Saccharomyces cerevisiae S288C: one gene and its partner. Each later gene encodes a partner of the first gene's protein in a complex. Each region holds a gene or a part of one and is shown in the gene's direction. Other genes may lie near its edges. The genes, in order: CTF4 and POL1.

Region 1 (5,282 bases):
AACTAGATAGTATAAAATGTTTGGTCTACCTCAACAGGAAGTCTCCGAAGAGGAGAAAAGAGCTCATCAAGAACAAACTGAGAAAACCTTGAAACAGGCCGCTTATGTGGCTGCGTTTCTTTGGGTTTCCCCAATGATCTGGCATTTGGTGAAAAAGCAATGGAAATAATTCCCCACTGAAGAAAAAAGATTGCATCTATGAATGACACTAAAATATGTTTCTCTTTTTGTATTTGCTTTTGATTAAATAATGGTCAATTTGCGCCCCCCACCTTATATAGTTTAGAGAAAGACGTGTAAATATTTTTTAAAAAATTGATACTGCTCTAATGAGCCTAAATCTCCTTTCTTCGCTTGTATATATGCGTATTCTGTATGTTTGTCCAGGCAGATTTTTCGGCTTTTTTTACCAGCTTTTATTATTAAAATGTGATAACCTTAATTGAAGGTTGCGATACAAAATAATCCTTTATTACGCATAACCAAGGAAAAGAGAAAATCAGTGCACATATGGGTTTACCTGAAGTTAACTTTCTTCGAAAAAACTGCATACTTGTGGAGTTAAAATTATTCTATCAAACAGTATACCCACCGAAGGAACTATATTGGAATAACCGAATAACTGCAGAATTGAGTACATTCTCCAATATTAAGTATGCAAGGCCGACTTTCGCAGTAAATAATGGCACATTTCAGAGAACAAGACCGAAATTAGACTTGGTACTGGCTTCATCTGATATTCGTAAGCTGGCTACGGTTTTATTTAATTTAAAAGCTCTCATAATGAATACGAAGGGTGAGGAACCCACTCTAACCACGATGACTAGTGTCCAAACGAACGAAGAGAAAAATGATAACCTGGAACAGAAATATTCAAGTCTGCTAGATAGATGGAATGGGAAAGTAGAAGTGCATGATTCTCCTTTCCTTCAACTCCAACGGGACAGCAACCTTTTGTTTGCTGAGAGGCCGGTACGTTACGTTAGCACTACAGAAGGTGAAGGCGTGGACATATCTAGTGAAGAGTTTTTCAGGTTAGAGGAAGAACAGTGCCGAAGGAATTATGATGTTTTGGTCGATGAACATTCTACACCATCAGTCGGGATGAAAGACGGCCAATACGGACCAAATATAATTCACTTTGAACCGTCGCTGTACCACACATATTCTTCTCTACCAATGAGTATGAAATTTTGGTTAAATGGTCTAGAAGACGACGAAACGACGATGATGAACATTGATGAGAAGTCAGCCGAAAATCTGGATATATTATTACATGGTTTCAAAGGATTTTCGAACAAGCGCGTTAAAGGATGAATTAATCATCCTCTTCATGTACTACTTATGTCCAATTTGAGTGTAAAATCACAGGTACAAGGCTTATCCATATTCGTATATATCTTCATAATGTTTCATAATTGCTTCAGAAAATTATTCAAAACGTCTTGTGATATTCATTAGGTGAAATCGTAGTTTGCCTGATACTTGAAAGAATCTCACCTGGAGAATGGGTGTTTTCACTAAGATTCGTTAATTTCCACTAATGATTAATTGTTAACTGTTTAACGCGACGCGTAATAAAGTTTCCTGAATACGCCAACATATGGGAACATATAGATTAAATTAATAAGAAAGCTTGGGAAAAATAATTGAGAAGGGCAAGAAGTGACGTAAATATACTAGACGTACTATTATGGTTTCAGTTATAGACAAGCTTGTTTTTGACTTTGGTGGGAAAACTCTGGTCTCTCTCGCACCAGATAATAATACTTTGTGTGTAGCCAATAAAAATGGCTTAACCAAGATTCTGAAGACAAATAACCCAGAAGAAGAGCCAGAGACTTTAGATTCTTCCAAATTGGTCTCGTCTATAAAATGCTATTCAAACTCGCACTTTCTGATGACTACAATGCAAGGTGATGCTCTTAGGTATAACATCGATTCTAGTCAAGAAGAATTATTGGCTAGATTTGCTTTACCCCTACGTGACTGCTGTGTTATTCATTCAGGTAAAATGGCCGTATTTGGAGGAGACGACTTAGAACTAATCCTTTTGGAATTGGACGATGAAACACACAAAAAACATGCCATTAAAATCGATGAACAAGTTTCTCAAATTTCTTACAATTCACAGATGAATATTTTAGCAGTTTCAATGATAAATGGTAAGGTACAAATTTTTTCTCTGACATCTACTATTCCAAACAAAGTTCATGAGTTAAATGATTACATAGTGGCCAATTCATATGATGATACACACAGAGATAAGATACTCTCGAATATGATGGATGATATAGATAAAGACAATGATAATGACCTGAGTGAAACGGCTGATCCAGATGAGAACAATGTAGCTGATCCAGAATTCTGTGCTGCTAATAGAATTTGCACGAGAGTGGCTTGGCATCCGAAGGGTCTGCATTTTGCGCTACCATGTGCAGATGATACAGTAAAAATATTCTCTATAAAGGGATATTCCCTACAAAAGACGTTGTCCACAAATCTCTCATCAACAAAGGCTCATTTCATTGATTTGCAATTTGACCCGTTACGTGGAACTTACATTGCGGCAGTAGATTTAAATAATAAGTTAACGGTATGGAATTGGGAAACTTCCGAGATCCACTACACCAGGGAATTCAAAAGAAAAATTACTAATATTGCCTGGAAAATCCAAGCGGACTCAAAAACTCTAGACCTTGTTTTAGGTACCTGGTCCGGTAGTATAGCCATTGTCCAAAATTTGGCAGAGTCCGTAGTATCTAATATACCTGACCAATCTGTTGCTGAATCTTCAACTAAACATGGGCTTTTTGTAGACTCCGAATCTGACTTGGAAAACTTAGAGGGAAATGATGATATAAACAAAAGCGATAAGCTATTTTCAGATATTACTCAAGAAGCGAATGCGGAAGATGTGTTCACTCAAACACACGACGGCCCCAGTGGATTAAGTGAAAAGAGAAAATACAACTTCGAAGATGAAGAAGACTTTATTGATGATGACGATGGTGCTGGTTATATTAGTGGCAAAAAACCACATAATGAACATTCTTATTCGAGAGTACACAAGACTCATTCGTTTCCAATCAGTTTGGCAAACACAGGAAAATTTCGTTATATGCCTTTTTCTCCAGCGGGAACACCTTTTGGCTTTACTGACAGGCGTTATTTGACAATGAATGAAGTGGGCTACGTATCTACTGTCAAGAATAGTGAGCAATACAGCATAACTGTCTCTTTTTTTGATGTTGGACGTTTTAGAGAATACCATTTCGAGGACTTATTTGGCTACGATTTATGCTTCCTAAATGAAAAAGGCACTTTATTTGGCCAATCCAAAACTGGGCAGATACAATATAGGCCACACGATAGCATACATTCAAACTGGACCAAGATTATTCCTTTGCAAGCTGGTGAGAGAATAACAAGTGTGGCAGCCACCCCGGTTCGCGTTATTGTTGGTACATCATTAGGCTATTTCAGAAGTTTCAATCAATTCGGGGTTCCATTTGCTGTTGAAAAGACATCCCCAATTGTAGCGCTTACTGCTCAGAATTATAGGGTTTTTTCAGTACATTATTCGCAGTTTCATGGCCTTTCATACTCTTTATCTGAATTGGGTACTTCTAGTAAAAGGTACTATAAAAGAGAGTGTCCACTTCCAATGAGTTTACCAAACATTAATTCTGATATGAAAAAAGACGCAAATCTTGACTACTACAATTTTAATCCGATGGGCATCAAAAGTTTGTTCTTTTCAAGCTACGGAGATCCATGCATTTTTGGGTCCGACAACACGCTTCTATTGTTATCAAAGTGGAGATCACCAGAAGAAAGTAAATGGCTCCCTATTCTAGATAGCAACATGGAAATATGGAAGATGTCAGGAGGGAAGGAAACGACAGATATACATGTCTGGCCCTTGGCTTTGGCGTATGACACATTGAATTGTATCTTAGTTAAGGGCAAGCATATATGGCCCGAGTTTCCCCTTCCGTTGCCATCCGAAATGGAGATTAGAATGCCAGTATTTGTTAAGAGTAAATTACTAGAGGAAAACAAAGCTATATTAAATAAAAAGAACGAAATTGGAGCTGACACCGAAGCGGAAGAAGGGGAAGAAGACAAAGAAATACAGATTCCTGTTTCTATGGCGGCGGAAGAAGAGTATCTGCGCAGCAAGGTTTTGTCAGAGCTGTTGACAGATACACTCGAAAATGACGGTGAAATGTACGGCAACGAAAATGAGGTATTGGCAGCATTGAACGGTGCATATGATAAGGCTTTGTTACGTTTATTTGCGTCTGCATGCTCAGACCAAAATGTTGAAAAGGCTCTTTCGCTTGCTCATGAATTAAAACAAGATAGAGCACTTACTGCAGCCGTTAAGATATCAGAAAGAGCTGAGCTGCCCTCTCTCGTTAAAAAAATTAATAATATAAGGGAAGCTAGATATGAACAGCAATTGAAATAAAAAAATGTAAAATATATATACGCAAGAGACAATTATTTGATACCTGTTCATTTGTTCAAATCATCGTTCAAAATGCTCCCACATTAACATATATTTCTTTGAATGCGACGATAATAAAGAGTTACGTTGAACATGATCTGAGCTGGAAGCGTCCTTGCGAATTTTCGCGAAAGGAAAAAGTGAAAAAATATGAAAAAAAAAAAAAGAGATGACATTTTATAGATGAGCTTTGATTAAACAGTGTAACACCTGGTCCTGTACCGTAAATATTCAAATAAGCATCAATTCAAAGTTCTTTATTTCTTCTTTAGCATTTCAAAATTATAGAAAATCTAGAAAAGATGTCAGATGTTACCCAACAGAAAAAGAGGAAAAGATCCAAAGGAGAAGTTAATCCATCAAAACCCACAGTAGACGAAGAAATCACAGATCCATCCTCAAACGAAGATGAACAACTAGAAGTTTCGGATGAAGAAGACGCATTGGAATCTGAAGAAGAATTCGAGGGTGAAAATCCAGCCGATAAAAGAAGGAGGCTTGCAAAGCAATATCTGGAGAATCTGAAAAGCGAAGCTAATGACATTTTAACTGATAATAGGAACGCTGAAGAAAAAGATTTAAACAATCTCAAGGAAAGAACAATCGACGAGTACAACAATTTTGATGCTGGAGATTTGGATAAGGATATCATTGCGTCCAGGTTAAAAGAAGACGTTGCTGAACAGCAAGGCCGAGTCTTCAGATATTTTGGCGATAAACTTCTAATATCTGAAGCAAAACAGAGCTTTACCAGGGTAGGGGAAAA
Region 2 (6,893 bases), on another chromosome or scaffold:
ACTTGGATGAACAACTAGCCATTGAGTTGAGTGCGTTTGCCGACGATTCTTTCATCTTCCCAGACGAGGATAAGCCGAGCAATAACAATAACAACAGCAATAATGGTAATGACGACCATAGCAACCACGACGTATTGCATGAGGACCCTTCTACCAATAATAGACAAAGAAATCCTCACTTCTTGACTCAAAGAAGGAATACTTTCCTAACTTCCCAATACGACCAATCAAAGTCTCGATTTTCGTCCAAAAACAAAAGAAATGGCAATAACGGCGAAACAAACAACTTTGGCGACAATATGCAAAATAACCATCCTTTTGAGCCAAACTTTATGGGAAGCCCTTCTCAGTTTCCCGCTGACGCAACTAATATGACATCAATCGACCATGGCGGCTTCACAAATGTTGACATTACATCAACTGAGAACAATACTACCGGTGACAATGGAGTGGATGCGCTATCAAATCTACTACATAGGACAACACACACACCGAACCGCTCCTCCCCCCTAAGCAATGTCACTTCTGCTCAAAATTCCTCTTCACAACAACGAAAACATTCGGAAAGCAAAGTCGATAGTAACAGCGATAATAACAGCTCCAACAAAGCCCCCAATATAACTGTTCCTGACTATTCAATTATACCAACCTCTGTTTTAGTAACTCTATTACCGAGGGTCAACGTGCCCAACGGCGCATATAACTCGTTGATCAGCGCGGGATTTGACAATGATCAAATAGATGCTATAGCCGCAATAATGGCGTATCATCATCAAAAAAAGATTAGGGAAAATAACAGTAATAATAATAAAAACATCAACACCAATGACAGTCAAGAGGCACCCATTCTAAAAAACATCAACGAACTTTTAAGTGTCTTAATACCACCCTCTCCGGCTGAAACTGCTGCGCCAACTACCTTATCAACGTCGCCTTCGTTCAATGAGCACGGTGTAGTAGCAGAGGCTTCTTTTCTAAGCTCCATTTTGGAACTGGGCATAAAGCATCCAAAAAGTAATAATATTCACAATCAACGACAACCTTCACGAAACGATCATAAAATATCAAGAGAGAGTGACGGTAACAATGGAAACGATAATGTCCATCATAATAACGCTGTTATTAAGTCAAGTACGACGCGTGGAGACGAAATTGCCAAGATACGATCCGAGCCAACTTTAAATGCAAGTTCTTCTGATCACAAGGAAAATAGTTTAAAAAGATCACACTCCGGAGATTTGAAAAATAAAAAAGTACCCGTCGACCGCAAGTATTCTGATAATGAAGACGATGAATATGACGATGCAGATTTACACGGCTTTGAAAAGAAGCAACTGATCAAGAAAGAGTTAGGGGACGACGATGAAGATTTATTGATACAGTCGAAAAAATCTCATCAAAAAAAAAAACTAAAGGAAAAGGAGTTAGAATCATCGATACATGAACTGACCGAAATTGCAGCATCCTTACAAAAACGGATACATACGTTAGAAACGGAAAACAAGCTTTTAAAGAATTTAGTTCTGAGTAGCGGTGAAACGGAAGGAATAAAAAAAGCTGAAAGCTTAAAGAAGCAAATTTTTGAGAAGGTTCAGAAAGAATAAAATAACAGACTATACAGTTTAATTATATATATATATATATATACGTGCATTTTTCTTAAAGAAATATAACTTTTTTCTTGTACTGCCTGCAATCTCTATTCTTCATTCATCACACATCTATTCAAACGCGTTAAAATTTTTTTGTTAGCCTATAAGTAAAACGCGTCGCGTGTATCCAATTTTACTGAATTAAATTCTTTACTCATTGGATGATATATATCTTCTTGGTCTAGACAACGAACACATACCAATTCAGACTCACGAGAAAAAAAACTGTCTTCACTCTGCTATTAGAAACCAAATAGTATCAAGGCATAAAATAAACAGTGGAAAATGTCTTCTAAAAGTGAAAAATTAGAAAAATTGAGAAAGCTGCAAGCCGCTCGAAATGGTACATCCATCGATGATTACGAAGGTGACGAATCAGATGGTGACAGAATATACGACGAAATCGACGAAAAAGAATACAGGGCCAGAAAGCGCCAGGAATTGCTGCATGACGATTTTGTTGTAGATGACGATGGTGTAGGCTACGTCGATCGTGGTGTCGAAGAAGATTGGAGGGAAGTTGATAACAGTTCAAGTGATGAAGACACTGGAAACCTTGCTAGCAAGGATTCTAAAAGGAAGAAGAATATAAAAAGGGAGAAAGACCACCAGATTACAGATATGCTGCGAACTCAACATTCCAAATCAACACTGCTAGCACATGCAAAAAAATCCCAAAAAAAAAGTATCCCCATCGATAATTTTGATGACATTCTTGGTGAGTTTGAATCTGGTGAAGTAGAAAAACCCAATATTTTACTGCCATCCAAATTAAGGGAAAATTTAAATTCTTCGCCGACTAGTGAATTTAAATCGTCAATAAAGAGAGTTAACGGAAACGATGAGTCAAGTCATGATGCCGGTATTTCTAAAAAAGTCAAGATTGATCCAGATTCAAGTACTGATAAATATTTAGAAATCGAATCATCACCGTTAAAATTACAAAGCAGGAAACTGCGCTACGCAAATGATGTACAGGATTTATTGGATGATGTGGAAAATTCCCCAGTAGTAGCCACAAAGAGACAGAATGTACTTCAAGATACGTTACTAGCAAATCCACCATCCGCTCAAAGTTTGGCTGATGAAGAAGATGATGAAGATAGTGATGAAGATATTATTCTGAAAAGAAGAACTATGAGAAGTGTGACAACAACTAGACGCGTGAATATAGACTCAAGAAGTAACCCTTCAACTTCACCGTTTGTCACAGCACCCGGAACGCCAATCGGTATTAAAGGACTAACTCCAAGTAAATCTTTGCAGAGCAACACCGATGTTGCTACACTTGCGGTTAATGTCAAAAAGGAAGATGTGGTAGATCCGGAAACTGATACTTTCCAAATGTTTTGGTTGGATTACTGTGAAGTGAACAACACTTTGATTTTATTTGGTAAGGTTAAACTAAAGGATGATAATTGTGTGTCAGCCATGGTTCAAATCAACGGTCTCTGTAGAGAGCTATTTTTCCTTCCAAGAGAGGGTAAAACACCTACCGATATACACGAGGAAATAATTCCGTTACTGATGGATAAATATGGACTGGATAATATCCGCGCTAAACCTCAAAAAATGAAATATTCGTTTGAGCTTCCTGACATTCCATCTGAAAGTGATTATTTGAAAGTCTTACTTCCATACCAAACACCGAAGTCCAGTCGAGACACCATTCCATCGGATTTATCTAGCGATACCTTTTATCATGTTTTTGGTGGGAATTCCAATATTTTTGAAAGTTTTGTTATTCAAAATAGGATTATGGGACCATGCTGGTTAGATATAAAGGGAGCAGATTTCAATTCAATTCGTAATGCTTCTCACTGTGCGGTTGAAGTTTCGGTAGATAAGCCTCAGAATATCACGCCTACTACAACAAAGACAATGCCTAATCTGAGATGTCTATCTTTATCGATTCAGACGTTAATGAATCCCAAGGAAAATAAGCAAGAGATTGTTTCGATAACGTTATCAGCATATAGAAATATCTCGTTGGATTCACCGATACCTGAAAATATAAAACCAGACGACTTGTGTACTTTAGTAAGGCCGCCTCAGTCAACTAGTTTCCCATTAGGTTTAGCTGCACTGGCAAAACAGAAACTACCCGGTAGAGTCAGGTTGTTCAACAACGAAAAGGCCATGCTATCTTGTTTTTGTGCTATGTTAAAAGTGGAAGACCCAGATGTTATCATAGGCCATCGTTTGCAAAATGTCTACTTAGATGTTTTAGCTCATAGAATGCATGATCTCAACATTCCAACGTTCAGCTCTATTGGCCGTCGTTTAAGAAGGACTTGGCCTGAAAAATTCGGTAGAGGAAATTCGAATATGAACCATTTTTTTATTAGTGACATTTGCTCTGGTAGGCTGATATGTGATATCGCCAATGAAATGGGTCAATCATTAACACCCAAATGTCAAAGTTGGGATCTTTCAGAGATGTATCAAGTTACATGTGAAAAGGAGCATAAGCCGTTAGATATTGATTATCAAAATCCACAATACCAAAATGATGTAAATAGTATGACAATGGCCCTACAAGAGAATATTACTAATTGTATGATTTCTGCTGAGGTGTCTTATAGAATTCAATTATTAACCTTGACTAAACAGTTGACAAATTTGGCTGGTAATGCATGGGCCCAAACGCTAGGCGGTACAAGAGCTGGTAGAAATGAGTATATCTTACTACATGAATTTTCAAGAAATGGTTTTATTGTTCCTGACAAAGAAGGCAATAGAAGTAGAGCTCAGAAACAAAGACAAAATGAAGAAAATGCTGATGCACCAGTTAATTCTAAAAAGGCAAAATATCAGGGTGGTTTAGTTTTTGAACCTGAGAAAGGTCTTCATAAGAATTACGTTTTAGTCATGGACTTTAATTCTTTGTATCCATCTATTATCCAGGAATTTAATATATGTTTTACCACCGTTGATAGAAATAAGGAAGATATCGATGAGTTACCAAGCGTACCTCCTTCAGAGGTGGATCAGGGTGTTTTACCAAGGTTATTAGCTAATCTGGTGGATCGTCGACGTGAAGTTAAGAAGGTGATGAAAACTGAAACTGATCCCCATAAGCGAGTTCAATGTGATATTCGTCAACAAGCTCTAAAATTGACTGCCAATTCTATGTATGGTTGTTTGGGTTATGTTAACAGTAGATTTTACGCAAAGCCGCTCGCCATGTTAGTCACTAATAAGGGTCGTGAGATTTTAATGAATACAAGACAACTAGCTGAAAGTATGAATCTTCTTGTAGTTTATGGTGATACAGATTCGGTCATGATAGATACCGGTTGTGATAATTATGCGGATGCAATTAAAATTGGCTTGGGATTTAAAAGGCTAGTAAATGAGCGCTATAGATTATTGGAGATTGATATTGATAATGTTTTTAAGAAGTTACTATTACATGCCAAGAAAAAGTACGCTGCTTTGACTGTAAATTTGGACAAAAATGGTAATGGAACTACTGTTCTAGAAGTTAAAGGGTTGGACATGAAGCGTCGTGAATTTTGTCCACTTTCGAGGGACGTTTCTATACATGTTTTAAACACCATCCTGTCAGATAAGGACCCAGAAGAAGCATTGCAAGAAGTGTATGATTACTTAGAAGACATCAGAATAAAAGTGGAAACCAATAACATTAGAATTGATAAATATAAGATCAATATGAAGCTTTCAAAAGATCCCAAGGCCTACCCAGGTGGTAAAAACATGCCTGCAGTCCAAGTAGCTCTAAGAATGCGTAAGGCTGGTAGAGTTGTTAAAGCTGGCTCTGTCATCACTTTTGTGATCACAAAGCAGGATGAAATAGACAATGCAGCGGATACGCCGGCTCTTTCTGTGGCTGAACGTGCCCATGCATTGAATGAGGTAATGATTAAAAGTAACAATTTGATACCTGATCCACAATATTATCTCGAGAAACAAATATTCGCGCCGGTAGAAAGGTTGTTAGAAAGAATTGATAGCTTCAACGTGGTGCGTTTGAGTGAAGCGCTTGGTTTAGATAGTAAAAAGTATTTTAGAAGAGAGGGCGGTAATAACAATGGAGAAGATATTAATAATTTGCAACCCTTAGAAACAACAATTACAGACGTTGAAAGGTTTAAGGATACTGTAACATTAGAATTAAGTTGCCCATCATGCGATAAAAGGTTTCCATTTGGTGGTATTGTATCTTCAAATTACTATCGCGTGTCATATAATGGTTTACAGTGCAAGCATTGTGAGCAACTTTTTACTCCTCTTCAATTAACTAGCCAAATAGAGCATTCTATAAGGGCACACATTTCCTTATATTACGCAGGGTGGTTACAGTGTGATGACAGCACATGCGGTATAGTTACAAGACAAGTCTCCGTTTTTGGTAAGCGTTGTTTGAATGACGGCTGCACGGGTGTCATGAGATACAAATACAGTGACAAGCAATTGTACAATCAACTTTTATATTTCGATTCTTTATTCGATTGTGAAAAAAATAAAAAGCAAGAATTGAAGCCAATATATCTACCCGATGATCTCGACTACCCCAAGGAACAGCTGACAGAATCATCTATTAAGGCTTTAACAGAACAAAACAGAGAACTAATGGAAACCGGCCGGAGCGTTGTTCAAAAATATTTGAACGATTGTGGACGTCGCTACGTTGATATGACTAGCATATTTGATTTCATGCTAAATTAGGTAAGTATTTTGTATGTGTTGTGTGATCTCATGAATATTCTATATAGTAAGAAAAGAATACAACTGTACATACGCATCCTACTAGATACCTAATGTACAGACATCGGAAGGAGCGCTAGGAAGCTTTTATTATTGAAGGTTTTCAGCGATATTCTGAGAATGTTTTTTCGGCTCTGGTGATCAGTTCTCACATGCATCATCCTTTAATAAACCCATGCATTAAGATTCGCCTTATCAGCAAGATCAGATAAGCGAACAGCTTCATCAATGAAATAGAATGCTTAAATCTTGTGAAGCACTGTCATAAGCCAGTTTGATAAAAGCAATACCCACAATATAGTTGGATATCATTTACCTTGATCTGCTCTTGCTTTCGAGGTGACATAGCATTTTTAGCCATCTGATTCCTTAGGTTCAAAGGCACTCATCATTCCTCCTCTAAAACACATTTCAACGTCATTCATAATCTGGAATCAACATAACAATATCCTAGAACACATCATCAATGGTCACTAACAATGGAGATGGTGAGCACCTTGGGATCCGAAG

The links.
Region 2: the proteins of CTF4 (region 1) and POL1 are in contact, whole or in part, in a crystal structure (PDB 4C93), measured with the Saccharomyces cerevisiae proteins. Residues at the interface, in NP_015461.1 of Saccharomyces cerevisiae: Asp863 (codon at 4,280), Lys864 (codon at 4,283), Leu867 (codon at 4,292), Arg868 (codon at 4,295), Ala871 (codon at 4,304), Gln891 (codon at 4,364), Arg893 (codon at 4,370), Ala894 (codon at 4,373), Ala897 (codon at 4,382), Lys900 (codon at 4,391), Ile901 (codon at 4,394), Arg904 (codon at 4,403), Ala905 (codon at 4,406); in NP_014297.3 of Saccharomyces cerevisiae: Phe140 (codon at 2,355), Asp141 (codon at 2,358), Asp142 (codon at 2,361), Ile143 (codon at 2,364), Leu144 (codon at 2,367), Glu146 (codon at 2,373), Phe147 (codon at 2,376), Glu148 (codon at 2,379), Ser149 (codon at 2,382).

Annotation. Positions count from the first base shown.
Region 1 is NC_001148.4:797,541-802,822, forward strand, and holds CTF4 (chromatin-binding protein CTF4), read left to right. Parts: upstream 1-1,693; coding exon 1,694-4,477; downstream 4,478-5,282. Other genes in the region: TOM5 (Tom5p), read left to right, coding at 17-169; MSS18 (Mss18p), read left to right, coding at 511-1,317; ribosomal RNA-processing protein RRP9, read left to right, coding at 4,819-5,282. UniProt on the Saccharomyces cerevisiae protein: Accessory factor for DNA replication. It plays a role in accurately duplicating the genome in vivo.
Region 2 is NC_001146.8:428,150-435,042, forward strand, and holds POL1 (DNA-directed DNA polymerase alpha catalytic subunit POL1), read left to right. Parts: upstream 1-1,937; coding exon 1,938-6,344; downstream 6,345-6,893. Other genes in the region: MET4 (Met4p), read left to right, coding at 1-1,604; AVT4 (Avt4p), read left to right, coding at 6,850-6,893. UniProt on the Saccharomyces cerevisiae protein: Catalytic component of DNA polymerase alpha, which in complex with DNA primase (DNA polymerase alpha:primase) constitutes a replicative polymerase. POL1 has a role in promoting telomere replication during interaction with CDC13.